Linked DNA regions of Lepisosteus oculatus. The protein of the gene in region 1 interacts with the protein of each later gene in a pairwise test. Links are inferred from orthologs where the notes say so. Each region holds a gene or a part of one and is shown on either strand. Other genes may lie near its edges. The genes, in order: max, plekhf2, mxi1 and mxd3.

Region 1 (7,440 bases):
GGAAATCTGTTGGAAATATGATGTGGTAGTGACCTGAATAACCTCATTTCACAGACACAACTCTTTATTCCATATGATTGATACCTTGGCTTAACATTTAGCTAACTAATCAATAGGTCCAACATTCCCTTGGGTCAACACCTTCCTCCAATGTTTCTAGACCACTATAATGGTTTTAACATTTCTACTTTTGTCAGTGTGACCACTTTCCTTTATGACTGCAGCACCTGTAGCAATTATATTCCACGATTACTCTTTAACCTGAATCTACTGAATTGATAAATCCTGATTCACATGGACAAATATATCTTGAGAAGGGGCGTTTGAAGGGCATACTAACTTTATTCCATCGTTATGTTCATATTTAATGCTTAATATCAAGGTCTTCAAAATATACTTAAACAAAATCACGTTATGAACTTCTGTATCCTTACGAGTCAGGTAACTGTTCTGAACTTGGGTCTGGTTGCTAGACAAAGCTGTCTCCTAACAATTCCATCGGCTAGAGTAAAACAATTTTTTTTTTACTATATTCTACCATTCTAGTTCCTGAAGTTCCATATTAGGTTAGGTGCCTCAATTCCACAACTTTTCTGTCACATTTCTTAGTTTAACTCATTCATTTTTGGCCCTTTTCTCCTAATCTGCCTTTTTTGAGCAGCTACCTTCCACATTTAGTTACTATACTACCAAATACAATCATCCTTTAACAACTTAAGTACCTATTACAGAACTACAGTGCTTTCATGAATCTATATAATTGCACTTACTGCTTGCATTTAATTAATTTCTTTGTTGAACCCAATAGTAATTCAGATTTCCTTTAAAAACCTCTTAATAAAAGAATCAGAATCAGAAGAATGTCTATTTAACAGGACAACTCAAGGGGTACGTGAATGAGGACTCTCCAATGCTTTTATTTTCACATGCTGACCCTCAATCAACTTGAGAGTGAATCCCTAAATGAGCACTCTGTGCATAAGTTTTAAACTATTTGGTTTATAGGTGAACAAATACCAAATCACATTTCCTTGAGAGAAATGGTAAAGCAGACTACATCACAACAATGGAATAATAAGTTTTTTTAATGTCATTTAGAAAATCAAATTGTAGCCTTATTCTATTCTAAAATATACCTTAGAATGTGACACAATCTAAGGCATAATAAGCAAAGCAGGCTTTATATAGTATTTTAAAATGTATAATAACACTAATTCTGAATTTAAGATTTTTTTATCGTTTCACAAAAAACATAAGCAGAGACCGGAAGAGCAACTTGTTATGTGTATTTTTACTATCGTTTTCAGTGTGTAATTGTGTTCTTGAATTTACAGAGTTAGTGCTAACCATATCCTCTCTTTTCCTATTAAGTGTATTACGCATGCGTTTTATGCCATTTAAAAAACACTTGTAAATAAAATGCACTGACAGAATGGAAGAGGGAACGTGCAAATGTAAACTGTAGGTACACAAAATGGCACGAACAGACTGCAATGTAATCCCCGGTCTTTTAAAGACAAATCGTAGTACACCGATTTAAACATCAAAGTGACTGCACAGACACGTCAAATAATACAACAGCAACCGATCGTTTATTGCGCCGTCAATGTGAAACGGTGTTGAACACCAACGCAACTGAAGCACCTTTAACTTGCCCTGAACACCTTGTATTTCTGCTGGCCACTTCGTTTTTTTATGCCTATCATCTTTAATATTTTTTTTGCTGAAGGTTAAATATCCTCTATTAATCCCCTCCAAAGATCGTAACCTGCATTCCAATTAAGCACTATTTAAAGCAGTATCTACCGGTGCACCGAGATAATGGATTGCTAAACCGAGTATTTAAATTCAAGCAGAAAAAAAGGTATTCCCTAAGAAAATATTTAATTATACGTTGTCGATCTCTTCGGTATGTGCAGCTTAACTATTCCATTAAAGCAGGAAACGTAGCTGCTGAACAGTAGCCTGATGTGCTTTTCGGGTTTTGAAAACAGCCTAATCTGATCTTCACGAAACGAAATGTTATGGTCGGTTCCTACTCATCGAAGCACAGGCAGATCCAGTTCAATCTGTGTATCTGACCTTTTTCCTTCTGATGTTTAAAGCGATCTTGAGCCAAAAACGGTGAAGAAACAGGCAATTTTCGTCTAGGCTAAAAATGGTACGCGCTGTGTCTTGTGGGTTGGGGATTACCCTTTGATGCGTAGAAAAATATTTCACTGTAAATTGGAGTTAAGCAAAACGGGCGTTAAGCAAAACAACGTGAGTTTTTATTTCTACGTCGTTGATTCAAACTCTTCTACGTTTTATTTTTTCATAGGCTTGTGCGGTGGCCTAGTAGGAGTAGCTGTACAACAAGGATGGTTCTCTAATCAGGCTGCTCTTCCGTCACCGATGTAGGTGTCCCCTGCAATTCAGGATCGCTGTCTCTACAGCCAACTCCTCTTTTCCTCTTACCCACCCGGAAATTATACTGAAATGTCAATGCAGTAGCAATTTTCATTTTAAAAAGTCTAAGCGTGATAAAACGTTCCGTATATTACGCACCACAGAGTGAAATCTCGGTGATTCTTCCTGTAAAAAAAACAAAACAGAAAAGTACAATTGTATAATTGTGAGTTAAGTGATAGCTTTAACTCCTACATATGTTGCTTGTATGTAAAAATAGACTCCTTTTTCGATATGCTTTAAAGCCGAAACCGCGGAACGTCTCATTCAGTACTGCTAGTCTCTTCCTAGAACTCTACCAACCAGCAGTCCGACAGCAGCTCAAAATTCAGAAAAACACAAGGCGTTTTAATTCTAAATATTTAATATTCTTCGAAATATCTATCTTCCACTTACGTCACTATCGACCTCGATGTCATCGTTGTCGCTCATTCTTCGATAAAATATTTGATCTAATTAAGAAAAAGCTAAAAAAAATAAAATCAAGTACAAACCGAAACGAACAAACAAGCGAATCTCACTGCAGGGACGAAACGAGATCAACGGACTCTCCACACGTGACTCGCCTACACACGGACATTTACACACCGTGACACGCATGTGCGACAGCGCTTGGAATGCTGGGAAATGTGTTTTTCGAATAACAAAGCCTCTTTCCGTAATACACAAACATTACTTACTGGACTACATGACCCATACTCCCCGCAAATGGGCGCTTCCAAGGGACGTAAAACATGGACTTACCTTTGCAGAAGGCGAGTGGGATGTGTAGTTTACTCAAAAAAATGAAATCGAGGGGCCATGATAGAGACACGTGGATGGCCATTTGCAAGCCAAGTTCTAGCTTGCTTGTCAAAATGCTGTGGGTGATGGCGGTCGTCCATTAGTAACGTGTTGCATAATACTTTTTGTTGATAATTATAGTGCTATTGCTGTCATCCATTCAAGACAGCTTACCTGATACTATGTGTAAGTCATATTTGGGGAAGTCCCAAATATATATATATATTTTTTTGTGGGTTATAATTCACATGATTGTAGATGGGCATCTAAATATGCCTGTGAAATAAATTATATTATTTAAAATTATAATTTCTAAAATTACATATAAGTTAGATTTTCATTGTAGGTGGGAACATGACTTGTTGGAATTAAATACAGAAATTTCTATCTTGAAAAAGTGACAGAATAAAACAAAGGGTAAGAGGAGTATTGAAATCTCTTGGCACCAGAGAATACACTGGACATAAAATGGCATCAGATGCACTCCATAATAAAGTGAAAGGAAATGACAATATATAAAGAAGGGCATGAGATCAATTATGCTGGCCTTTACCCCATCATGGCCTCCTAATAATCCCCCTCTATGAATTGGCTACATTACTCTGCTCTCCTCCCCACTGATAGCTGATGTGTGGTGAGCGTTCTGGCGCACTATGGCTGCCGTCGCATCATCCAGGTGGATGCTGCACATTGGTGGTGGTGGAGGGGAGTCCCCATTACCTGTAAAGCGCTTTGAGTGGAGTGTCCAGAAAAGCGCTATATAAGTGTAAGCAATTATTATTATTAATTATTATTATTATTAATTAGAAGTAGAAAACCCACCTGCCCACGCATTTTAAAACCAACAGGCCTTTGCTGGGGATTTGTACACTGTATGAACAGGAGGCTTCTAGCAAAAAAAGGTTGCCATCAAAGTAATGCTTTGGAACTTGCATACAGTCACATATATTGAATCTGGATCTGATCCAAGCCAGTGTTTAAAAACAACAGCAACAACAATAATAATAATAAAAATAAATGCCATTACTTTCAGCTTTTTAAATTTTGTAGGACAACTTCTCAGTCCTCGAAATCAAACTCCAGTGTCAGGCAAAAAGCAAGAACATACATTTTAAATATTAAAATAAAGTGGTGCTGGACCAGGAAGAGCAAATCGTACTGTATATAAAAGGGATCTAGGTGTTTATTATGGCTCATCACTTTTTCCAGCTAAACAGTACAAGGGACACTCCATTCAAAGCACTTTTACAGGTAACGGAGGCTCTTGTTCAACACCACCAATCTGTAGCGTCCACCTGGATGATGCGATAGCAGCCAGAGTGCACCAGTGCACTCACCACACATTAATTGGTAAAGACCAGGGGGAAATTTGGCCAGGGTGCCAGGGTAACACCACTACTCCTCTCAAGACACTCCCTGGGATTTTTAAGAGTCAGTTTTACGTTTTATGCAAACGAAAGTGCCTTTTTCCTGTATAGTGTCCCCCTGCTGGAGCATTAGGACCCAGACAGACTGCAGGGTGAATGTTCCCTAGCGGCCCCACTAACACCTCTTCCAGCTGCAAGCTTAGCTTTCCCAGGTACTGGCCAGGCTCACAGGTGCTTCACTTCAGGGGTTGCCAGTTGTGAGGTGCAGGGTGAAATAGCTATGGCTATGTTAAAATTATACAGTGCCTGTACCTCATCTGGAATATTGTGTGCAGTTTTGGTTAGCACGTCACAAGAAAGCCATTACAGCTCTAGAGGGCAACCAGACTAATCCCCTGTCAAAAGGGAATGCTGTACTGACAGATTAAGGGAAGTGAATGATTTTAGACTAGAACAGAGAAGATTATGAGGGGAATGGTTACAGTTAGTCAAAAACCTGAAAGTCATTCAACAAGTCAGCTCAGGGGACATCTTCAAGGTCATTGATGACAGAAAACACGAAGCAATTCACTACATAGAGAACGTGCTTTCAAGTCGTGATGTTGAAGCTGATTCAATAGGTTTCTTTAAGAGAGGGAGAAATAGAATTCTTAGATCATTAAGCTAAAAGTAACTGAAAGGACAAGATGGGCATCCTGTCATTTGTAAACTTTCAGTCACCTGTCTCTGTAAGATCATTCAGCCAGGCACTGAATTTCAAGCAAAGATTCAAACATGAAGATCACGGAGCTTTCAAATGAATTCAGAGATAGAGTTGCATTGAGGCACTGATCTGGAGAAGGGTATAACACAGTTCAAACACACTTAATTCTCTTTGAGGTTGGTGAGGTTAATCGTTAAGAAGTGGAAGGCAACCGGCTACCAAACCGAGCACCCGGGAAAGGAGGAAACATGTTTGTCTTGGTCACTCAACTTACTGGGCTAGCAAACTGAAAGAGAAAACATCTCAAATCCTGCATGGTGTTTTCAACAGCACCTAATTCATACTGCAAACATGTGGTAAAAGGCTTTGTAGTCAGACAAGAACGTTGTGGTCTAAACACAAAGTGTTAAATCTGGTGCAAACCCAACATAATGCATCACTCAGTCAAAACCATCCCTGCTGACAAGAATGGTGCTGGCAGCATTTTGTTATAGTTCTGCTTATCAACAGGGACTGGGAAGCTTATTGAGAGAGATGGGAATATAGATGGAGCAAAATGCTAGTAAACTTCAGAGGAAAACCTACTTCAGAGCCAAAAATTCGCCTTTCACCAGGACAATGATCCAAAACACAAGCCCAAAGCTACACTGGAGTGTCTTAAAAATAAGATTGTGAATGTTCTTGAGTGGCTCAGTCAAACACCTCACCTTTATCCTATCGAAAATCTGTGCAAAGACTTGAAAACTGCTGTCCATGAGCAATGCCCACACAACTTGAGACAGCTTTTAAAAATCTGCATAGAAGAATAGGCAAAACCTTAACTGAAACTGCAATATAATTATGACCTAATTCATGTGTACTGTATGGCATTTTGTGGATAATTTTGATTTAAGAACCTTATTCAAGGGTATAACATCAGCAGTGTCCAACACAAGATGTAATCCCTTGATACTTCAGTCCAGAGACCTAACCCTTCCTCCATGTTTCTTTCCGAATAAGAAGAATCAAGGGACAGGAACTAAAAATGACTGTAAACCTCTGTAATTAATTACTATTTCACTTATAATGGTTTTATGCTTAGCTTTTAAGAAAAAGGAGAATTTCTGTGTGTCTATCAATAAACATAAATGTGTTTCTTGTGGTAAATACCATCAGACTTGGGCTTCTTCAATAAATTAGAGCAAAATACTAAAAAAACAAATATTCCAAGAGATTTGTAGCTTGATAAGAAGATTATAGAGTAGATTGTAGGGGTGGAAGGTGGCATCAATAAAGCCCAGTGCAAATACACACAAAATCCTCTCAGTTAGCTGTGCAAAAATATATTATACTCCACCAGTTGTTTTTACAAAGTGAGAGTTTTGCAAAATAGTTATCCCAGCCCACTCATTTTTGGGTCTTTCAGTGCAAGCCAACTCACAAAGAGTTTCCAGAGGATTTCAAGACGAAAACAGTAGGGGCTTAATGATTCATCATGGCATCCCACTTTGTTATGTGATATGCAGTTTCACAGAATGAATATGTAATGCAATGCAGGTACTGTAATAACCATGTCTTCTACTTAAACATTTGATGCCCATACAGTGTGTTGTCTTCCTTTCACTTATCAAATGGATCACTGAGTTTCCAAAAAAGCTAAGCTTTTAAGCATTTGAAAAAAATTAAAAGCTCAAAGTGAGGGAGCATGAAACACTGACAGACAAATCTTTAATGAATGGACTAATGACTAATACACATTGTTAACTGGTCATAATCCCTTGAAGTAAATAAATAAACTTTGAAGGCAAGTTTGTTAAGGAGTATGTTATATATATATAACATATTTTGAGGGATAACTACAGTTTTATGTTTTCAGAACGATGATGTAAGATTTCCCTTAATGGTATAGCAGTTTCTCAAGAGTTTCAACACCCAACAACCCTCTGGAACGCCCTGTATCGTACTACTGATATTACTTGAACGAATAACATGAGATGTCTGGAGCTATGGATATTTTTCATATCCTTTTTCTTGTTTCTGTGTTAAGCATGCTTTTTCATTCTCTACCACAGAAAGCTCAATAGAATTTATAAAGTCATTTGTGTCATTTAGCAGAAGGTGTGAAATCACTATGACTGAATGCCGTGGGAGAGAAAACCT
Region 2 (7,953 bases), on another chromosome or scaffold:
AATTTTATTAACAAATGCCTCTCTACTGTGGCTCCCTGTTGAGGTTTCTATTAAGAGACATACAGTCGTTTTTTAACTGCACTACTGAAAATCACAGCATTAAATTAGCATGTAAAAATGTTTCCCCTTTCAAAACAATCCAGTGAAGCAGGTAAAGAATCTTGACCCTTCTTAAAAATTTTACTGTGACCAGATCTTTTCAGGGACACCAGACAGTACAATTGTACACCTTCTCATTGCAATTAATTAGTCAACCCAAATGCTGTTAAACAGCCCACACTGTTTCAGGTTTAGTGGTGGCTGGTGAGCTGGTGGGTATCTAAGGTTTCAGGACTACAACTGCTCTGAAGAAACTCACCGTTCCACAAATCTACACGAAAGCATCGGTAGGTTCTATTTAGAAATATGTCAGAATGATTAAATTATCAATATTTATGATATATTCAAACAATTTTCTTTATTTCTGGATCCTCCTTTAAACCTGCATAAACAATAACTAAATATTTTTACTGTCAATAAAAGTCTATTTTTTTAGCAAATGAAAGGTAAAGTGCCTCTTTTACATCCAGTAAACAACATACAGAAAATACTGATGGGAACATATATTTACATTTTAGAAACGTGTACAAAGATCTAAAAAAGTCCATACTCGTATGTAAGACCAGGTGTGAGAGAAAAAAAAGCCTTATAGACACTTAAAACTTTAAAATGTAATTGCAGTCTTGAACCACCTAAGCCTGAAAAGGATTATACAGTAGTAGCAGAATTTCCCCATCTTTTGAGCAATTAACCAACATGCCTTTTTAAAATTTTCAGTGTCCTATCACAGTTTTCATCTCAGTTTGACCTGTAAAATTTGCCAACAGTTTATCATTAATTTGTTTCCTTTGCATTTCTGTGTTCTTCCAGATTTCAAGAGAGTCTTGACTCCATAGGGCAACATTCAAACTCTTAACATGCTAATTACTGTAGGTCCTGCTGTACAAGCAGGGCATGAATGTACACTGTCAGCAAAACGTATCATCCCATCACCTCATCGGGACAGTGCCTGGCTAGACTAAAGATTTCATTTTCAACGCCCCCTCTCGTTTGTAACCTGTCTTGGGTTCTGAACAGGATATCGATAACAGATGTTCTATACATTAGTTTCACATGCTCATATCAACTGAAAAAAGAAACAACCACCATCCTATTAGTATAGAAATGTGCATTGAAAACTGCCTGTGCACACAAGGGGAAAAGTCAGCTATAAACCTTTTTACATCTCAAATAATTCCGTTAAGACACTGCACAAACATAAAAGTACCCCAAACATGCTAATTATGACAAGCTTAACTGCCCATAAATTAGAATAAGCTTTGATGTGCGAGTCATAAGCATTATTTTAGGGGAAGTTTTAAAAAAAATGGTGAAAGATGGTCGATGAATTATATGAGAGGACTCTCAATATATCCACCTTAACACCACGATACTGATGAGAAAACTGATTCCCACAGGTGCCTGCCTCATCAGAATGTTTTAAAGTGTCTCGGTAAGATTTGTTTTGTTTTTTTTTACAGAAAACCTATCTACGCTAAGTTAGACATGGCTCAATACGTATGCTTCACATAAATAATGCAAAAGAGCGGCTGAAGGAGGGCTCTGGTTAATGTTTACCACCACCAATCAAAACTTCTCATTGAAATCGTCATCCTCTGCATATCTTTTCAATCCTTACCCTAGTCCAATATACTGTATAACGCACATTTGAATCCTTCACCGGGGTCCTTGATGTTAAGACGCGTGGCGAGTGTAGCAGTGTAGATACAGTACCAACACCATACCACGTCCAACACATACCGGCTGTTTTAAAACGCGCTGGACAGCCAGACCAAACTCCATCACGAGTTACATTTGAAGACACGGTCTGAAGTCCGGCTCTGCTCGGGAAGAGGCAGAAAGCGCGCTTCCACAGAGCAGGGGGCGTAAGGTCCGGAGAGTGTGCTTTTGAACTCTTACTAGCCCAGGAGGTCTCACGGTACAGATCCAGACCCAGTCGAGCGGGTCATATCGACAATATCCCGAGAGGAGACGCGGTGCTGCGCGTTTTTAACTCTGCTCACGGCGATCACACCGCGGACACCCCGTCCGGGTCAGGAGCGCAAGCAGTTTTGTGGAGACGAGCCTCCTTCCATCCAGACGAAGGGACACTCCTCGGAAAGGCGTGCTAAATCTCTGGTGACAGGACAGGGACGGGCTCACACGACACGTTTTTGTTTTGTTTTGTTTTCGGACAACGCTAGACAGAGAATTTTTAAAACCACCGACAGAACTGTCGGCTGATTTTTCGAGCAAAGCCACTATCCTGGGAGGCTGACACGGGATCGCCACTTGTCCCTGTCAAAGATACCGGGCTGATCCCCGAATGATTCACAGACACATGTGGAAATACTGACCGATCACCTCGGTCCCAATCTCACCCCCACCCAGCCTTCGTGAATGGTGTTCGATTTCGCCACTTTAAAGCACTGCATCCATTTCCAGCTTTTCAAGTCTCCAGTTTCTTTCACTCAAGTTCGCAGCCCGCGACTCTGTAACTTGACTCCCCTCGGCCGATTAATCCAACACAATAAGCACCCAAACCGAAAAGGAAACATCAGCAACTTCGTTTTCAATTTCACTGCCTTACCCCACCTCCCTCTCTCCCTCCCCCCCTTCACTGTCACATTTCCAAGTGTCGCTGGTTGTAGTGAAGTTTAGGAAGAAAATGACTTGAGAAGTTCAAAACCCCTACTTTCGCAAGCGCAACGCTAGAAACCAGCGCGCACACACGCACACTGAGCAAGAACAAATCAAACTCACCTACCCAATTTAAGCTTCTGGCTGAAACTTCCAAGCCACTTGTTACTCCTTCCGTTGATACAGACTAAACTCGCTGTCTGATGCCCCCCTACCTCCACCTCGCTTCTTTCCCAGGAGCTAGTTTAGCACTTCACGGGCAATAACAACATGGCTCCCGCAGCGGCGGCCGCCGTGACGTCACCGCGCACGCAGCGTGCGCGCAGCAGGAAGGCTGGGATGTGACTGCGCGTTCACGTTTTGAAGAAGGCTGAGACGAGCGGGAATTTCTGGCTGGAGGGTGTTGCCATTTTTTTCCGTCATTTTTGTTTCAATGTATTTTCCATGTGGTGTTTTCTTTTTTATTTGGGGAGGGCATACCCGGCCACACTGGTGGTGTGACTATGACTAAATCGCGCGTGCCTTGTTTCAAGTCAGCGCTCCCCTGACCCCTGGTGAAAAAAAAAAACAGTTCAGCGTTTTCGGAAGGGAAACGTTATCTGGCCTTATTAAAACATATATGTGTTCTGTAAACATCTTTTACAGAACTGAAAAGACTGGCCTTCAGATTGCCGGTAGTAAATGGACTTATGACATTGCATGATCTGCACATTGCTACAACGATTAATCTTTGAAATAGCTTAAGGTTCATATCTGTTTTTCTTTACATTATTCTCTTGGAAACAATTTGATCCAGGCGTCTTCCGCTTAACATATGTGCTGCTAGTAATGAACTGTAATAATGAGCCGAAATGTCAAATACATACAGCAGATAATAATAGAAAAACGAATTTCTTAAAACGTCACATCTGGACATCATTTAACTGGATGAATTATAAAAGTGTTTTTCGAATAAAAAAACATCGTTTAACGTCAACTATGCATAAAATAGAAATAAAGTTGGTGTTTGTTTTTCCAATAAGCACTGAAACAGCACTGAAAACTAAACAAAACTGGAGACTTGGTATCTCACTACCTAGGGAGCCTGGAACATGTTGCTTATGATCCCTTTGTGTTTTGGAATTCATAGTGTGATATAGTTTTTCTGCACAGAGAACATATGGTTTATATTTAATCTGTTATGTAATTCTGTCCCATATATGCCTCTCTACTAAGTCCACAACATCTAGAGCCTCTCTACTAAGTGCACAAACAGCATTGCCGGCTCATGTGAAACCCAACAGACAACTTGAAGCCATATTATAAGCCTGGAAGGCTTTCTTAACTTTTCTCAATATGGTGCCTCGTGAAATGCATTAATATATCCCATGAAAATTAGATAACACAGCCACCTTTACAAACTGGCATACACACCTTTTTTGAACTGTTCCTGCTATTTAACAATCTCATAACATGTGCCACTCATCAATTTGTACATGCAAATGTGGGACTAAAAGCTACTTGTTTATAGTTCGCAGTCATATATACTGTGTAATATACATAGACATTTACTGTATATATATATTCATTTCTATCAAATTACAAATTAGGAGAATTGTAAAAAAATATATCCAGAAAGCCAGGTTTGCTGCTTTCAGGGATAATTCCCTAATTTTAGGGATTTTGTTTTCAGTCGCTATAAATGTTAAAGCAATGAAGCAAATAAGTTAAATACAGTATGTCCACTTGTGGCCAGACAATCTGGAGCAATGTTTTACTAACAATGTACATAGTGTTTTATTACACTGCAGCAACGCAACACTAGAACTGAAGGTATACAGAGTAGGAGCGTGAGGGCAGGAGGTTCAAATTTCTTCAGAACCCCGAGAAAGATGGGGAGCACTCAACCATGAGTGTCCAGTCTGACACACGGTATGCCTTATGTAACCCCTTTTTAAAAAAGTGATCATTATCTTTCAAGAGCAAGATGAAAAGGTTGAAATTAAAAGTCATTTTGAAGAGAGATGGCGGCCCTCTGGGGAGCTTCTGGCGTGACAGCGACACATTGAACAAAATGTTCAAGCGTGCTGCCTGTGCATTCCAATTAAATATCTGGAGAGACGGGTAATTGTTGTGTGTTAAACAGTGCTCCTGCGCGGCCGATGGTTAACGGCGACGGCGCAGTGGAAGAGCTGGACGTGCTCTCACAGGTGTGGGACGTGGAGACAGCAGGTGGGAACGGGTTCCCAGGCCAGTGGGGTTGGGGGGACTTGCAGAGGCGAGTCCAGCGCAGAACTAGTTGCCTGCAGGCTGGCATGGTGCACGACTGTTGAAGCCCCCCCTGAGCGAGCACCTGGAATTCCTGTTACAACACGACTGGACTGCTCCCCGCTGGCCCCTCACAGTCACGCCCCCACAGCTCCACACGGCAACTCACAAGTCTTTTTCTGAGGAAATGTGCATAACTGGCTATGGGGGAAAGTGACAACCCCCACAGCTATCTGGCTGGTAAATGAGAACTCTCTTGAGGTGAGGGCCAGCACAGATACTGAGCACTCCTGTACATTTATGCATACTATTCCAAATCTATGAATAGCCCTAAACCTGACTATCAATTCAGAATCCCCTAACCCGAATCCCAAACCTAACCCTAAAAGTAACCAAAGGCTTTTAAAAAGGAACATATCTAGGCAGGGTACTTACAGTAGTATTGGTTTGTTTTAAAGCACAGTTACAAAACAGAGGAGGTCATTCTTCCCATCCAGTCACAGTTTCAGCATTTCAGAGCAATTTCCACTTGTGCCCTATGGTTCATGTTTCACTGTTCATTCTGAGGATGTCTTGACTTTTTTGTGCCCTTGATAATTTTGGACACCCGTCTCAGGTCCCCTCATAGTCTCCTTTGTTCAGGATTAAAAAAGGTCCAGTTCGTTCAGTCTGTCAGTGTAGGACATTCCCTTAAACCCAATAATCTATCTGGTTGCTCTTCTCTGGACTGATTCCAGAGCAACGATTTCTTTTCGGTAACATGCTGACCACAACTATGCACACTATTCTAAATGAGGTCTTACTAATGCATTACACAAAATTAAAATAACAAACTATCGTTTAAATTCTACGCCTTTGACTAACATTTTTTCTCCTTTTTTACTGCTTCCCCACATTAACTGGAGGATGAGCAGTGTTATACACAGCATCATTGCTCTTCTTCCATAACAGTATAAGATGTGCATTAATAAATGTCATTATAGTAGTGTTGTCTGTTTACTGGTTTGTATGCTACTCCAGACTACATTGAGACCATCTTCTTCAGGCAGCTGTTATTAGTGAATATGTTAGGAGGAATCCCTCTAGTACAGAATAGGTTTTTAATGAGAAGGAGACTACAGCTGCTGACTTTGATGAAGCTGACACTCACTAACATCATACACAGTGTACACATAAGAAAATGCCTCTAATGGTTTCCCAAGGCAATATTTAAAAGTAAATTGCAACAGGTATAAAATAATGCCAAAATATAAGTCTTTTAAAGGCTGTATTGAAGGTCTAAATCAAATATTCTTTTTAGGTTTTACTCTGCAGCTCTTAAATTTTGTCTGTGACACTAAGTTCAGAATTCCTTTTCGCTTGCTTATAAAGTACAGTTATTTTGAGAAAAAAGATTCAAAACAAAAAGTTTATTATTTAAATCATTTGCCACTGAAATGGCATTCCTACTTTTAAAAATGCATGAAATGGAGTTAAAATCAAACCACAGTGTTCCTGTCACATCCTGTCATCGTCAGTGGACTAAAAGACCTGACTCAGTGGGTTCACTCAGTTCAGTATCTGTCCTGGAATACATTAAAAAATACGAGATTCCAATTCCATACTTACAGAGATGAAAGTACTCACCTTTCTGCATTCAATGTGTGAAATAAGGAGAATGGACCTGAATAAACAAATGGTTTAATATTAAAATTAAAGAGGTATAAAGCAATAAATCCACAGACCAACAACTACTCAGCAGAAAGGGATGGGCAAAATCATTTGGGACTTGTGTAACACCCATTCGCTGGAAAGTTGCTAATATAGCACCCATCTATGTAAAGAGTGACAAAACTGAACCATGTAATTAGAGGCTAGTAAGTCTCACTTCTCTTACGTGTAAGATCATAGAAAAAATAATCAGATAGGGAATGGGAAGATGGGAAACACAGAATTTGAAAAAATGATCAATGAAAACCTTATCTGGGGAAGCAATAAAAAGAAAATCGAAAGTTATACTCTTTACATCAAGGAATTAAACTTGTATGGGAGGCATGGTGACACAGTGGACAGCACTGCTCCAACATAGCTCTGGAGTGCTAGGGCCCTGGATTCAATTACGGCCCTGGGGTGCTATCTATATGGAGTTTGTATGTTCTCCACATGTTTGTGTGGATTTCCCCTGGGTGCTCTGGTTTCAAATTCAAACAGCTTTATTGGCGTGACTGGTAAATTACAGTGTTGCCTAAGCATATGCAATCAATACAACATCTATGTACATTACTAATAGAAATACAACATAGTATATTTACATACAACAAATAGAGCATTATTGAGAGACAGGCTCACTGTGCCTCAGGCTGTGACAGGAGATCATGTACTGTGTGGCCGTCTCAACTGAATTCCCTCCCTCCTGTCCCAGTAGGATTGGGAACTCTTCTGATTCTGGCAGGTATGGAAAGTCTGGGATTAGATTTGTTATTTTTGAGAAGAATATTTGTCTGATCCCAGAATATTTGTCACAATGAAATAGAAAGTGCATCTCTGTCTGTTTCTCCCTGCGGGGAGTTGGAACACAGCCTGTCCTCTCTGGGCAGCCAGGTTTGCCTGTGTCGCTCGGTTTTTATGGCTAGATTGTGGTCACTGAACCTGTACTTTGTCTGTTTCTCCTTGCTTTGTCTGTTTCTCCTTGCTGCTTCAGCTAGTGTGTATTTCTGTTGAGGGTTCTGTAGCATTCCAGTTTGTGTTGTGTTTGTGTGTGTGCCCCAGTGGGTAAGGTAGTGTTGTTTGGTTTGTGCTGTGATTTGGTTGATTTTGATTGTTGAAGCTCTGCTTTCCTGAGGCTGATTGGTGTCAATGATATTCAGGACCAGCTGGCTGAGGGGGCTCTTCTCTGGGCTCAGCTAATTGTGTTGTTTTGGTTCAAATTCTGCTTGCTGTTTCTCAGGTTTAATCGATATTTGATTGCTCTCTTTTGCATACTGATAAATAATGGATGTTGGCCTAATT
Region 3 (7,614 bases), on another chromosome or scaffold:
ATGTTTGAACTCGCAAACCCCACAGTGCGTTTGTACTGATGATGCATAGTGGCCTTTTAATCATCGCAGGTCATTTAGAACTTGAGGAGCTTAGACTTGAGGATTTAGCCGATTTTACTGCTGTCCTACTTAAGTTTATTGTTGATACACAGATGACAGTCACTTTTCTTAAAATATTTTCGGTGGGTTTAAAAAAATGCGATATGCATCTCAGAGAGGCCGAGCCATATGCTTGCTTATACATTAAGTATCTTCAGCACATAAGACTGGAGACGAAGTCATCCTGTTTATCTTGCTCATTCAGTTGCTAATTGATCAGAGCAACCCAGTCTTCAGAAAAACAAGCTCAATACTTCCTTGATGCCAGATGTATCTGATTTTACTTTCACAGCTTAATTTCTACCCATATATCCTCTATCTTCACCCTTCTGTTGAGAAAACCAGTATTGGTATTGACTTCTATGGCGTATATATTGTTAAAAACATATTGATGAAAAAAACTTTATAATGCACGTACCCAAGATGCACTTGCAATTCAATTTAAAAGGTTTATCAGCAGTATGTCTAAACTCTAGAGGTGTTCTAAGGTTCTCGTGATTTACCTGTTAATAATGCCACAATTACACCGTTCTGACTTCCCTATTCCCTAATACGGTACATATATTTTTCTTTAAAATCAGAGCAGGTTGTTCCAAGCCTACATATCCCATAAATCCATGCTTTGAACACGTTTTCCAGCCACAAGAGGCCAGGCCCAGCAACACATGACGTCAATAAGGAAGAGGAATTTGACTGGATGCCTACGTCAGTAAGTACGGCCACGGACCTCTCGCTGGACCAATCACAAGGGGCGAGTTTGTATCCATGTGGAAACCATGTGAGACACCAGCTAACACCAGGAAGCAGAATAAATTGCCGCAGGAATAATACGATATTAAAATGGCTTCATGGAGTTGATTGAAGGCTATTGTTTTGGTTACTTATGAATTATTTGGTTATGTGCTGCGTTCTTACTTCTTCCAATATAATTAGATACGCACATAAAACAAAATTAAATGTTTAATTCTGTAACTTTAAATTCTTTAACTCGATTGTTGGTTTGTATGTTTGGTGGTTATCTTAAACACGCTCAACTTATTGGAAATATAGAAAAAAATAAAATAGATGAATTACGTAATCTTTGGGGGAGGGTGGTTACGGAGATATTCCCTTTTAAGTATGTAAAGTACAACCACAGTGCTATCTTTAGGACTTTTCATCTGAAATGTTCAGAATACTGCATTGTGTAGAAATCCGTAAGACGCATAAATGACGACATCAGTTAAGGATGACAGATATTAATAGCAACAGGATACAAAATTATTTGCGTGAGATTGTAAAACTCGGTCTGATTAGTGTAATTTCGCGTAGGCATACAAAATCAAATGCTTACATCCTATATCAACGCACACCGATTTCAAGTGCATTTAGGAAGCTACGAAACCTACGGCCTTATGTAGTCTGTGAAGGAGCTTCATGTTTCAACCTGAGCGTAATGCTCCTCATGAAACACTTTATTCCGCTTTTATAACGAGGCTTCCTTGTATAGGCCGGCGTTTGTTGTATTATTGATGTTTACAAATATTAAATAAGAATTGCTATTATTAGTATTGTATAGTACAATTCAGCGTACTACTACTCTATTAAATTCCAATTGCGTACAGTCTCTTCTTGCTAGTCCAGCAGCATAATTACTGTATGTAAGCATAATCCAATGCCAAGGATAAAGATTTTCTTAGTAAGAGGTTTCTTCTTAAAAATGATTGAGTTAGCATTTTTTAAGGGGTACGATGTACCACTAGTGAAAGAATACGTTTTCCTTTAGTCAACTCAAACGTGTGGTTCTGGAAAACGTCTTTCTCCGTAGCAGACACGCTATACCATTCAAAAGCCAGTGCCTTACAATTCTTTCTGGCGCATGAACGTTATTGAATTAGTCACCGTCTGCTTGTTTTGCAGAGTGTTATTCATTCTCAAGTTTATTGGGGCGTTGCATCGCAGAACAATAACTCTATTTAAAACATACGAAACTCCCGAACTCAATTTATTCACAGTATCTGCTTGCCACTTTGAAAAATTATGATGATTTGATCTCATTACATTTAACTTGGGAGATTCTCCATGTGTAGCAAAAAGCTATTTTTTATGTTCTTTGTCCTGTATACATGTCTAAAGTTTTTATTAAAATGCACATTTAGTTAATAAATATTCCTTTTAAATCTGTAATCCAGTACGTATACTTTAGGATAAATATAGTGGTCTTTCTGTTTGAAGTGCCAACTTTTTCACTCCACATTTCTTTAAATAGTCTTTGCAGCGTGGATGCACTATATATACACAGTAGAACTTCAAAAATCAGGAAAAGAGTTCTTTAGACGCGTATTTATAAAACATTTTAATTCTAGATTATTTAAAAATGTGAAGAAAATCTTATAACACTGCGTGGTTCACATCTAGTTGTAAGTAGTTCTCTGCTCAACTGAAGTCCTTTGTTGTCTGAGTCGACTGGTATCATGACAATTCAGTTTTCCTAAAACCTTTCCGACAATTTAAAGTCCCCTTTCCAGACACAAACACTTACTTCCATTTTTCTTCTCGTTATTTTCTATGTAACTTGCTGCCTCCAGCAAAACTTGCACATTTTTCAGAAAAGTGTCGATCTGGTCCATAGCAGAATCGTTGGAGCGAAATATGTCGAAAGGACAGCTAGACATCTCGCTGAAATCTTGCTGATCCATTGATGTCTCGGATTCCAGAAACACATCGTCAGGTTTAAGCTCTCTCTTTTGCCTTTCACTTCTAACCATCTTGATTTTGCTTTAAGGGAAATCGCTGCTGCTTGAAAGTAAATCTTTGGTCAGCTATTCTGTTGTGCGGCTTCTTTAGAAGGCGATCAATGAATGAAAGGTGAAATCTATGGATGGCGTCTCCAGTCGCTGCCTTCTAGGTCCCTGTGCCTGAAGAATACAACGATCCACGTTGTAATCCACTAGCCTAAACTCCTCCCATAGGCGCACTGAAGTCAAGCATTGGCGCCTTGAAATGTCATTTAACCGCCCTCTTCACGGCGTGTTGATCTGACGAAGCCAGCTTGAGAACCTGAGTCGAATATTATCTACTGCTACAGGGCACCCAGCAGCTCGAAGCTGCTTTTCACGTTGTAAATCGATTGTTCCTGTCAGCACCACCTAATATGTGCTAAGTCAATAAAACTAACCTACGGTGTATAGAGAGACACTTTGAAAAGAATAGTGAAAGGATCAAAATAATAGATGCCCATTCCTCCCTGCCCCTGAACACAGACTCAAAATTATACATTTGTGACCTAACACATTTGTTCACCGTTTCCACTCCGGACCGCACTTTCCTCTGGTTAAGTCAACCTTTAACCCCACTTCTTACAGAACTAAAATAACAATGGTATTTCCCCCTTATACGGCGATCTTCATTTACACACAATGTTGCCAGACCAAGCCTTACACTTTGGAAAACATTTCAAATTTATCTGATTCCCCTGCAGATTTAATCTTCTGCCAGATGCATTTCTTATACAATACACCAGAACAGTTGAAAGTAAAAAAAAAAATACAAGACCTGGTGCTAAATTTCCCGTCTTTCTTTTCTCTGTTAAGGAATATGCGTGTAAAATAAATATTATTACAAACTACAGATGTGGAAAGCTACAATAACCGTTTCTAGGATTTTTATACAGTATCACCGTCTGCGAAATCAATTAAACTTTTAGCACTTCAATGGCAGCCTTGAGTCTGTAATTTCTACTAAAAATACGTCCCTCACTCTTAACCGTCTACGTTACCTGCTCACCTTAGCTTACCGTGTATAGGTATTAGATTCCTTTGTGACTCCAGGAGGGCAGGCAATATTGTATGTGATGATAGAGTAACCCTTTACACTGATAGCTCTGGACTGCTGCTGTTTCCACAGGTTGAAACACAGCAGGTGAACAGAGGTTATCGTTGCTCACTGTCCCCTTTTAAAATGTATTGAGAGGTGATGATTCTCACCTAATTTGCACTCTTTTCACTCGATTAGGCCTATTTCTAAAACAGCCGTTTAACGACACGTTCTCGCAATTTCGCGATATTGTCATGTAAATGACATGTCGATGACAATGTTGTTAATGACAATAATGTAATTTTTCTTCGCTTCTGACACAGTACAACGTGGTTTTTGAAAACACGTTAAAAGAGTCTGTAGCGACATTTTTAGCCGTATGATCAAGAACGCTGATACCAAATGCTTTAAGTTACCGAGTCTAACTGAATATGTAATGTTTTCACTTTTAATCTTCCCCTTTCTTTATTTTGCTAACTGTGTGATTTGAGTTGGTCATTTTATTAATTTAATCTATGGTGCCGATGCAAGTTTGTTTACTTGTAAACAAATCTAAGGTTTTCTAACGACATTTAAATAAAAGATTCAAAGAGTTTGCATCTTAACAAGGTGTGCACAAAACCAAGCCCAAAATAAAATATCTTTAACTCCTGTTTAAAATTAGGAAAAGCGGGAAAGACATGATTTGCCTGACGAAAACCAGGAAAACAAAAAGAAAGAGCGGATTGATCCGCACGGGCCATTTCCAAAGGCCTCTTGACTTTCTCAGCAGGGCGAGGTTTTTACTCATTCAAGGGCAGAGAAAAATGGCTCAGTCCCTTTATGTTCTATGCCACTTCAAAGGCTCTTCTACAAGCTGCTGCTATTTGATGTAAAGTTCATAGAAAGCTTGGAAGTTCAATAAACAGAAAGATCATTGACATATTTTCCTACACCAGAAAAAAATCGAGATTCAGATGATAGAAAAGTAAGGTATTGTAAACCTCATGCCTTAACTCATGCACTGACCAAACACGATCCTTCTCAAGACTTTGGAGTTAGTTAGGGCACAGGGAGGTTTTGCCATCCCAACAAGCTCAATTTCCAGCTGTATCTTGTTTCCAGCTGCAACATTTCAAATGGATGTTGCCTCTTTGTTCATAACAACTAGACTAAGTGTAATTAAGAGATCCTGGCAAGCAGTTCAAAACCCAGCCTTTCCCAGTCCTAGGAAATCACTGAGCACCTGTGCTACACAAATGTTTTGGATAACCATCCCAAAGGATCTTTATTTAATCTTCACAGTTTCTTCACAGATCACAGATTGAAACATTTTAAATCAGGTGTATTTTAGCTGTAAAAGCTGTAGTATTTCCTACTCTATTGTTGTGCTGAATTAAAATAAATACTAGAACAAACTCTCAAAGGTTCTTTTGAGGATCATTTGAAATGTTCCTGAATGACTAGATTCCTTATATATAATGACATGGTGCTGAAGAAAAAGAGAAGAAATTCTTTAAATTTGTAAGGTCTAGTTCAATAGTTTTGTATTATTTATGAGTACGTGGTTATTAACTGAGAGTTTGCAGGGGATGTTTTGTCACTGCAAATACCAATAAAACAGCCAGAGACGTCCCCCAACATGCTCGATTGGAATAACTTCAGAGGTGTTGACCTCTCACTACATGATTGAATCCCACCATGCTATTTATGACATGGTTCCTTTTCTACTACCCTCTATAACAACATTTCAAAACTGTTTCATTCATCCATTTCACCAGAACAAACAATACCATAAAACTATAGCTCATCCTCTAAGAAGAGAGAAGACTAAATAAAAAGGGTTATTTTCAAAGCAATTAGGATATTTCCTATGTAGGTAACATGATATTCTGTTTTTTTACCAAACATACAGTGATCATTTACTTCATCACATGATTCTGTTTTCAAAGTTTTAAAATTTATTTTATTTATACATACAAAATAATTCAAGATGTAACTTAATTCACACACAGCTGAGCACTAATTCATCAAAATGTATACATTCTTCTCTAATGAAGAAAAAACACAGACTATAACAAACACAAATGGTAAACAAAAACAATATCACTATATGTTACTCAAGGCAATATTTGTATTGCAGCAACACTTTAAAGAGATTTCAGAGCTTGTCATATTAATTTCAGCTTTAATGTTCATTTCATTTTTTGATATAAACAACAACTAATATGGCTGGCAAAAAAGTAATATAAGGAAAAACAAACTAAGTTCCAATTAAACATTCAAATCAAATATCAAAATTAGATGTATTGATTTAATATACAGTATAATAACTTCACAATAGCATTTAGTAATGTTGATTTGATTAAATACAGTAAGACAATGGCTTGTCTTTAGCAGAGCTCACTGGGGCAAAATTATGAAGACGTGAAGACAATGTGTTTTTATTAAAAAATGAAAATACATTTTTCTTTTCAAAGAGGGAAATTTTAATGTATGCACCCTTTAGGTATTTGAAACTGAGGTATGAGCTATGGACTTTCACATTACTCATAGTTTGCTCCCTGATATGCTGTCATTTAACTTAGAAATATCAGAAGTGTTGAATGTACAGAATGGACAGTGGAATTTTAGACTAGCAAACCATTCATTGTATTTAAGGCTTCAAATTTAAAGACTGATAACATTCAAGTTAAACAATCATGCAAAGTATGTCATTGCAATGTTATCTGCCCCAAAAAGACAAATCACATTTATTTTAATACACAGTGTTAACACAAAAACATTAGAATGGAAGTTATATTTGTTAGAGAAGGCAATTCTTGTACTACTAAGGGTTTGCTCCTCTGCATATCTACAAATTAAATTTTTGTGTATGATTTCTGGTATTGAGTGGTAATTCAAGGATATTCTGATAACTGTAGTGGTTTTTATGAATATATAAACCACAGTGTCTCCCAAATATATAATGACCATTCTAACTCACAGCACACTTCCTATTTAACTGCATTTTGTTGCCAGGTGTTGAATGGTCTAATGTAAAACAGAAGCCAGTAAAATGTAACTGACACTCTGGTCTCTTTGAGGAAATATGCATGTGTATTATGCCTGTTTTGATAAACAAATTGTTTTGAGGTTTTTTTTTTCCAAAAGAGCTAAGTTTTCGTGTTTTTTTTACCACTCTGAATGCTGAATTTTTCAAACGAAACCATGTTTCAATGAACCCTTTGTAATTGAAAGGTTCTAGTGACATTTATTAAAATGGGTTTCCTTTCAAATGGAAAACTGCAGTTGTTTCAATTCCATCTAACTTAAACGCTTATTCTAAATGTTCTTATTCTGAATGTGTAATACTCCAAGTAACAATGTTTAATCTAAATATGAAACATTATATGACAAAATACTGTTTGTCTACAAACTAGTGACTCAAGAATTCTGTTAAGCAGGTGTGTTGGTGACAATAATTCCTCACATATACTATAATTCTGATGCTGCAAATAATTCAAAGAGCATTTAGGAGATAGGATATTTAAATACTCCATTGTGCATTTTCCAGTAAAGTATAACATGTGTTATTGTTGCAGTTCTGTTATCAGGAAATGTAAAAAAAAAACCCGCTAGAATTCTAAATTCTGCATTCTACATGACCCATGCTCTGAATGGACAGTGCAGCATGTATTACTCATAGTGAGAAATAAATGATTTAGCTGAGGTTAGAGCAGAAAAGACTAAATGAAATGG
Region 4 (7,039 bases), on another chromosome or scaffold:
CTTCAGCCTCTCCGCCTGCTCATCCTGCTCCTGCAGCTTCTGGAAGGGATGCCAGCGCACAAGCGGGCAGTCACCACCGGGGGTCCCAGCGCACGAAACGGAGCACGCACAAACACACTCATGCGGGCACTCGTGCAGAAACAGGGTGGGCAGCAATACCAGGGGCCCCCGAATTCAGGGGGACAAATCCCACAGACGGGAGGGGGGTCTCTCCCCGACGGCCCATCGCAGTCACGAGCACACACACGCGGTCTGGAGCGCCCGCGGCCGCCTCTCACCTTGATGTGCACCCGGGCCCGGCGCAGCAGGTTCAGCGTGGTGTTCCGCACCGAGTCCGAGGACAGCGGCACCTGCTCCTTCAGGAGGTCCAGGCAGTGGCGCAGCTGGGCCCGCCTGTGCCCCACGGGACCAGGGCGAGAAAAGAGGGGGGGGGGGAGAGAGATCGTGATGTTTTCAGCAGGGAAATGTACTTTCCGTCAGCCGGAGATTCAGCAGAAGAAAGACCCCTTCTGTTACGCGTTGGTATGGAGAAATGTTTAGCGTCCTGCCCCGCGAAAGGCTTAGCGCGGTTCTGAAGGGGAACGGAAGGCCTTTCCTTGCTCTTCTAGATTCTGACAGAACTGCTCCCCCGAGGGACGGAGGGAGGTCATGCTGGATGGGGAGGGAGGTGGATTTGGAGAGGCGGGACGGATGTCACCAGAGCCTTAGAAGGGATTTGGAGACTGGAGATGTGTTTCTGTGTCTGTATCTTTCTGATTTCTTTGTTCTTTTACTCTGCGCCTGCCCCTTGATGACTGCATGCGAGCGATGCTGGACACGAATACCATTAAAAGGGATGAAAGAACGTGCACGACTCCCAGCTGCGCTTAGTGAGCTGAGTCTCGGCCCCGAGGCGCTTGGCCGGAGAGGGCAGCCGGGCTGCCTGTCTGGACTCCCGGGGGGAACTCGGCGTTCTCCAGGGCCGCTGGCGAAACCGCGTGGAAAACAATCCCAGATCAGAGCACAGGGCCTGAGCCCTAATTCCAGGCCCATTCGCAAATTCTGCTTGCACTGTGTTGTGGGCTCAGTGATCTTTTCGCCCTTTCTTTACAGTGCCAGCCAAATAAAACGGGGATTTAAGAGCTGTAGTAGAGAGGTCCAAGGAAGAAAATAAATAAAACATTTTACCTGTGCTTTTCCAGCTCGTTGTGCACTGATCTATGGGGGAGAAAAAAAGCACAGGTCAATCAAACTACCTTAAGAAAAGCAAAAGGGTCTGCTGTATAACTAAACCACAATTCAATCAACACGACTTTGGGAATTATCTAAAATGCTAATATTGGGAACTCTTGAGGCCACTGAAAAAAGTATTATTCCTCCTCTCGTGAGAAGTGTCTGATGGGGTGTATTTTTTTTTTTAAAAAAGCAGACAAGATTATGTGCGATGCTTTAAACACAACGACAACGCATATTTTAAGTACATGACAATTTTCCATTTCGAATCGGAAGCATCAACCCACGTTACCACAGGCCTGAAATTAAGATTTATTCAAGCCTGTGCTTCTGCAGCCCTTAACTGCAGGAAATTAGTGCAAGTCTAACCGCACGTCTTGAGCGCTCAGGAATAATGTTTATCACAGGAGCACGGTGACACCCGAGTAGATTTCCCGTCTTCTTCACAAAACGATATTTCTGGGAACCCTTTGACAAAATCCTGAAGTTTGAGTTGGGATTAGAGAGGGCGAAATCAACCGCAAGACCTTTAGTACTGTAAATCTTTACTTTATTTGTAACACAGCAAACCTATTAACAACCGAGTAAGCGCACCACGCCCAAACTCGGGTTAACTAGAAACGTAAACACGGTAATCAAAACTACAGTAACAGTTCCCGAATCGCTTGTCCGATACAATATTTTTGGGGGGAATAATAATTTCACTTGAAAGCAGCGCGCTTTTGGACAAGAGGCGCCTTACCTGACGTTGTCCGGATTCTTCCTGGTTTTGGGTTTGTGTCTCTTGTCCGACAGCCCTCTGCTAGTCAAAGGCTGCAGCGATGCATAGCCGTGCTCTGCTTCTAAAAAAAAAACAAAAAACAACAAGCCGGGGTCACAATCTCTTTGTCTGTCCCCACCAGACAGGGTTAGAGACAGGCTGGGCTGCGCTCCACCGGAGCCGCCTTTCGCATTGACGAGCATTACCCACCAGACAAACACGTCTGAAAAGGGGAGATATTCCCACACGCTGAACTGTAACTCGGAAAAGTAACATTGCTGCTGCACCCAATTCCTCATCTCCGCGCGTTTCTGCGGGTTTGATGCAGCCTTGTCGACGACAGTGACAGGTCCCCCTCCCAACCAGCCGGCGATCAAAACACAGACGGTCTTTTTTGGCGCCACGGTCAGCGCTAATCTTGGGATGCCGCACACACACACACAAAAAAAACCGAGCTGATTTTCAGGCGATTTCAGGCTCAAGCATCGGAGAGAAGGAGCTACCCTCCTCCCCGGTGCAGGGCTGCGTCGATGAAATCCAGCTCCGGGCTCGTCTCGGTTTTTGAACCAGTGACGGCTTGGCGCCTTTGCGCAATAACAATATTGTATAACATAATATTTGGGTCAGCCAGGGGGACGGGCTCAGCGCGAAGGCCAGCCGAAACTGGATCTCGGCGGACGCAAACAGCTGCACCTCGATACGATCTGCATTTTGCACGGAACCCCCCCACCACACAAAAACAAAAACAGGAGAATAGTTCAGACGCAGCAGTCCTGTCTGAGCTGCAAGCCAAAAGAGAAAGTATCCGAGCTGGGAGCTAACTTACCTCTTTCTCGCCTGTCCAAGTACTCCGCGGCCTGCAGCAGCACATGGATGTTACAGTTATTATTTTCCATTTTTCCCCCCACCCCTTGCTTTTAAAGGCCGTGCAAACTGGAAAGATGGGTGCAGCTATTCCTCCTACCAACCCCACTAATTCCGTGCCGAAGGGGTGCAAAGTGCTACCGAAGGTGCCTTGTTTAAGGCTGACGTCACCTTCCCCCGCCTCCCTAGACGTTAGGGCGCGCCCTTGCAACGTCGACAGCCACAGAAACACGCCCCCTGAGCGCCGTCGGAAGGAGAACAGTGCCATCTTTGTTGTGGCGTAAACTTAAAAATACTTCATTTTTACCCACCGCCTTTAAGCCCTCCGACCACCATCGTGTTGTGCACATCCAAACTGGCCTCGGCGCTGAATCTAGGCTGCAGGGGCAGTTCAGGGTGGGGTAAAAGGATCATCACAGCCTTCATCTTTCACTTCCCCTGCATCGACTTCAGTAATCGATAGAGCAAAAGTATAGCTCCAAACTTTGAAGGTGTTCGCCACATTTGGTCAGATCAATGAACGGATATGTCAATCTCAAAATATAGCCCTTTCTCGGGCAGGAGTGGGAAATAATTCAGCCGGTACTTCGGGGAAAAAAAGTAAAGTCGTTCAGCATTTAATTCTGCCGCATTCAACATGGACGTCTGCGTGTGACATTGGCGTTTGACCAACACGTTGATTTTCATTGGCCAGTGGGCGACAAGGACCGCCCCCACAGCGCGGTGTTGTAGCCGGATTGGCGGTCGGGAAGGGAACGTGACGTCTTGCAGAGATGGTTTAAAAATACAAGCAGGCGGGAACAGGCGGAAGAGTTTGAAAATTCAAAAAGGTAGAGAAAACGAGGGAAAGTGGTCCTTTGCGTGAAAGGACTGCCTTTCTAAGTCCAACTTTCTGAAACGCAGCAGACGTCTTCCGGCATTTGCACTGAATTACGCTGTGTAATACTGCGACGAGGACGGAATCATTGGAGATGGTTTTCTCGTTGCTAAATCTTACTTTAGTTTCACTACTGGTAAATTATGAAATTACATAAAACCACAGGGAGCACAGACCCGTGCTGCAGATTAGGTTGTTAAACATTTCAAATTTATTGTCGAGAGGAACTCCATTAGACTTTTTTTTTACAAAAACATTTTTAAAAAAAATTCTACCCATTATGTAATTAAATACAATTTTCACGTTTTAATGAAGTTTGCAACTTAACTAGAAATTCCCTGAAATTACTACATCATGGTGCAAAAGGGGTTTCTCTCAATACTTGAAAGCATAAATCCAGAATTTCACAATGTGCAGAGCTAGAAGAAAAATAACCTTTCTTGCTGAAGAGCAGATGCATTTCTGGAACAGTGATAGCCACAGGAGCCTTAGGAACTACAGATCTACAAAACTCTTGGGAAAATCTAAGGGAAATACATACAAAGGCTAACTTAAAATTCTGTAGAGAGTATACAGAAAAAAAAAAGATTAGTTGTGACTCAGTCTGCAGTCATTGGCCAAGCACACTACCGAACACCCAGCTTTTTCCCCCCACAGAACCAAACCCTCCAGATCACCCCCACCCCACCCAAATCAAGTCCGTTTTCCGTCCACTCCTCTCAAAGCGGCGTGGTTTCTCCCACGATGTGGAAATCGTAGCAGTGGTTGCACACGCGCACCGGCTTCATCTGTCCGAAGCGAGGCAGCGGGGCCTCGTGGGGGGAGCAGCGCGCACAGAAGATCTGAAACGAGCAGGAGAGGCCAGGCCATCGACTTCGTCCTCTGCTGGAGGAGGCAGGATTATCCGGTGCGGGGTCGCGGGGGAGCAAGGCAGGGTACAGCCCATTTGGGACACCAGGACACACGCACACGCACACGCACACGCACACGCACACGCACACGCACACGCACACGCACACGCACACGCACACGCACACGCACACGCACACGCACACGCACACCAGTGGGACTTTGTATTTGTGTGGGTTTCCTCTCGCAGTCCAAACACTCCATGCAGGTAGCGGCCCTGGTCCGGAATTGAACCCAGGATCCCCAGAACTGCAAGGCAGCAGCCCTAACCCCGCTCTGCCATCCTCTAACGATAACACTTCTTCTAAGTGAACCAATTTTTTTTCCCCAGAAAAAAAAAATCAAATCATGCCATTTCGTTCTGCCTCCCCAGGATCAAAAACATGCAACACGGAAAACGAACAGATCCTCACTCACTCCAAAAGCCAGCAAGCAGGTTCGGATCTGGGTTAGGCTGGCGAAGCTTTAGCAGAGCCGCGTAAACGAAGCGTTTAGCACGCCCCTTGAGCGGCGCCCAGCAGGCCGCAACCCTCGGTCCTGGTGCCTACCTTCCCACAGCTCCGGCAGTGGTGCCGCCGGCGCAGGATGGTGAACGGGGCTTGGCAGGCTGTGCAGTGGTCACAGGCGCTGTCGGGCACCCAGACGGGCGGTCCTGCCAGGGAAGAGACGGCTTGTGAGTTTCCCCCCCCCATACTGTATGTGACGGGGCTGGTGCACTGAACCCATCTCTGAAACCTAGATGGTGTGGACCTCTGTGGCAGAGTCTCTTGGCAGGTCTGTGCTTGGATCCCACAAAAGACCTGGGCCAAATCCCAGCAGGGGCAGAGAGAGCTGCATTTTCAAGAGCTGACCTTAAGCCCCACAGCCCACTCTTCTCCTCCTCCTGCTGCTGCTGCTGCTGCTCTGGACTTTCACCCTTCAGCCTCAGTGTGGTTTGACGGGTCAGAGCACACTTGACTCCTCCGGGAAGTTATCATGGAAAGTGAAAACCACCATCTAGATGTGACATGCAAGGTAAAATGCTAAACGTCGGGTACAACAGACCAAGCCTTGGCACACGGGAACTGTAGCATCCCGAAGAGCAACTCAGGAGGTTGGGAAAGACCATTTGCAAGGTATCCTTTCTACCCATAGATTTGAATTTGCTGCCTCACGGTACAATAAAGAGAGGCCCTTGCTATGAAAAGTTGATAACATTACTCCTATCCTTGAGTCCTTGCACTGGCTTCCTGTCAACAACGCATGATAATTAAGTCTTACATTTTAAGAGACCCCTTCAGTACTGTATTATAAGGAACCCGAGTTATACAGTACCTCTGGGTTAATGTCATTTATTAACTTGGTTGAGGCTTTTATGGAAATAACCTTACTTTTATGCCTATTAATATAGCAATTAATCGTTTTGCTCAAATGTACAACAGCATTACCTCACCTAGGATTTGAGTCCTCAACATCCCCTTTACAAATCCACTACTTGATACATGGGGCTTTTAATAGACTACAACAACATGTGTATAGGACTTAATTCCTAAGAGTATACAGTACCATGTTGCACTCAAGCATTAGCTGCTCATATCCCATTGGAATCTAAGCCATCATTTTATACAGGTGCCGTTCTGGAAACTGCCCTCCCCTCTCAAAAAAAAAAACTTAGGTAGCTCAAACCAAACACCAGGAGTCACATTTCTGTGGTAGTAACATTATATCCGAAGATGGCTACATCTGTAATACGTCTTATGTTTCATTTCATGTTAATACAAAAAAATCCTGGCCTAATACTGCCTTTATATACGCGTGCATAAACAGAATGTACACAAGAACACAGGCATATACAAAAAGTATGCAGTTTTAATTTAAGAGAACTTGAATGACCAAATCTGCAAGTGCCCTGAAAAACAAGAAGTAGGTCAGTTTACCTTAAATATCCATGTCTAACAGCTATGCGCCCTGTCAGGTTTAGACCCCCCTAATCCCTTACCTCCTATATTGCCCATGTCTGAAACTCCGGCGTTCAGATCGTCACACAATTCACATTCCTCTGGGCCAGGATCGGGACCTTCCTCCAGCTGCTGGTCTTCCTCCTCTCCCTCTGCTGCGAGACAGGAGAGAACGCACTCTCCTTAGATCCGTCACTCTCCGCTTGGCTCACTCGGAGCCTGGAGCGGCCAGGATGCTAAATTAATTCAGGGCAAAAACGGGACTCGAGACTCTGGCACATTCGTCTAATTGACGGAGGCTTCAATAGCTTTAATCACATTTTGCGAAGAGGAATGCACCAAGAAGGGAATTTACTAGGCTGCAAAAAGCAAGAGGTTTGTGACTTTGATCTAAATTTAGTCACCAAATGGTGACAATCTGTGCTTGTTTAAATAAAACACATAGCAGGCATCTACAATTTCCTATCCTAAAAAAAGCCG

The links.
Region 2: the proteins of max (region 1) and plekhf2 interact in binary tests that used the Homo sapiens proteins (3 or more experiments, as listed by UniProt). The two-hybrid records come from large-scale screens. The link is inferred for Lepisosteus oculatus from reciprocal best matches to the Homo sapiens genes MAX and PLEKHF2.
Region 3: the proteins of max (region 1) and mxi1 interact in binary tests that used the Homo sapiens proteins (3 or more experiments, as listed by UniProt). The link is inferred for Lepisosteus oculatus from reciprocal best matches to the Homo sapiens genes MAX and MXI1.
Region 4: the proteins of max (region 1) and mxd3 interact in a two-hybrid assay, tested with the Homo sapiens proteins (4 studies listed by BioGRID). The link is inferred for Lepisosteus oculatus from reciprocal best matches to the Homo sapiens genes MAX and MXD3.

Annotation. Positions count from the first base shown.
Region 1 is NC_090703.1:15,578,993-15,586,432, forward strand, and holds the start of max (protein max), read right to left. Parts: upstream 3,011-7,440; 5' UTR 2,881-3,010; coding exon 2,845-2,880; intron 2,575-2,844; coding exon 2,548-2,574; intron 1-2,547. UniProt on the Homo sapiens protein: Transcription regulator. Forms a sequence-specific DNA-binding protein complex with MYC or MAD which recognizes the core sequence 5'-CAC[GA]TG-3'. The MYC:MAX complex is a transcriptional activator, whereas the MAD:MAX complex is a repressor.
Region 2 is NC_090705.1:16,735,820-16,743,772, forward strand, and holds the start of plekhf2 (pleckstrin homology domain-containing family F member 2), read right to left. Parts: upstream 3,006-7,953; 5' UTR 2,842-3,005; intron 1-2,841. UniProt on the Homo sapiens protein: May play a role in early endosome fusion upstream of RAB5, hence regulating receptor trafficking and fluid-phase transport. Enhances cellular sensitivity to TNF-induced apoptosis.
Region 3 is NC_090699.1:39,856,280-39,863,893, forward strand, and holds the start of mxi1 (max-interacting protein 1), read right to left. Parts: upstream 3,002-7,614; 5' UTR 2,847-3,001; coding exon 2,621-2,846; intron 1-2,620. UniProt on the Homo sapiens protein: Transcriptional repressor. MXI1 binds with MAX to form a sequence-specific DNA-binding protein complex which recognizes the core sequence 5'-CAC[GA]TG-3'. MXI1 thus antagonizes MYC transcriptional activity by competing for MAX.
Region 4 is NC_090706.1:38,087,198-38,094,236, reverse strand, and holds the start of mxd3 (max dimerization protein 3), read right to left. Parts: upstream 3,008-7,039; 5' UTR 2,869-3,007; coding exon 2,799-2,868; intron 2,055-2,798; coding exon 1,955-2,054; intron 1,198-1,954; coding exon 1,168-1,197; intron 394-1,167; coding exon 279-393; intron 40-278; coding exon 1-39. Other genes in the region: lateral signaling target protein 2 homolog, read right to left, coding at 4,433-4,555, 5,171-5,274, 6,601-6,714. UniProt on the Homo sapiens protein: Transcriptional repressor. Binds with MAX to form a sequence-specific DNA-binding protein complex which recognizes the core sequence 5'-CAC[GA]TG-3'.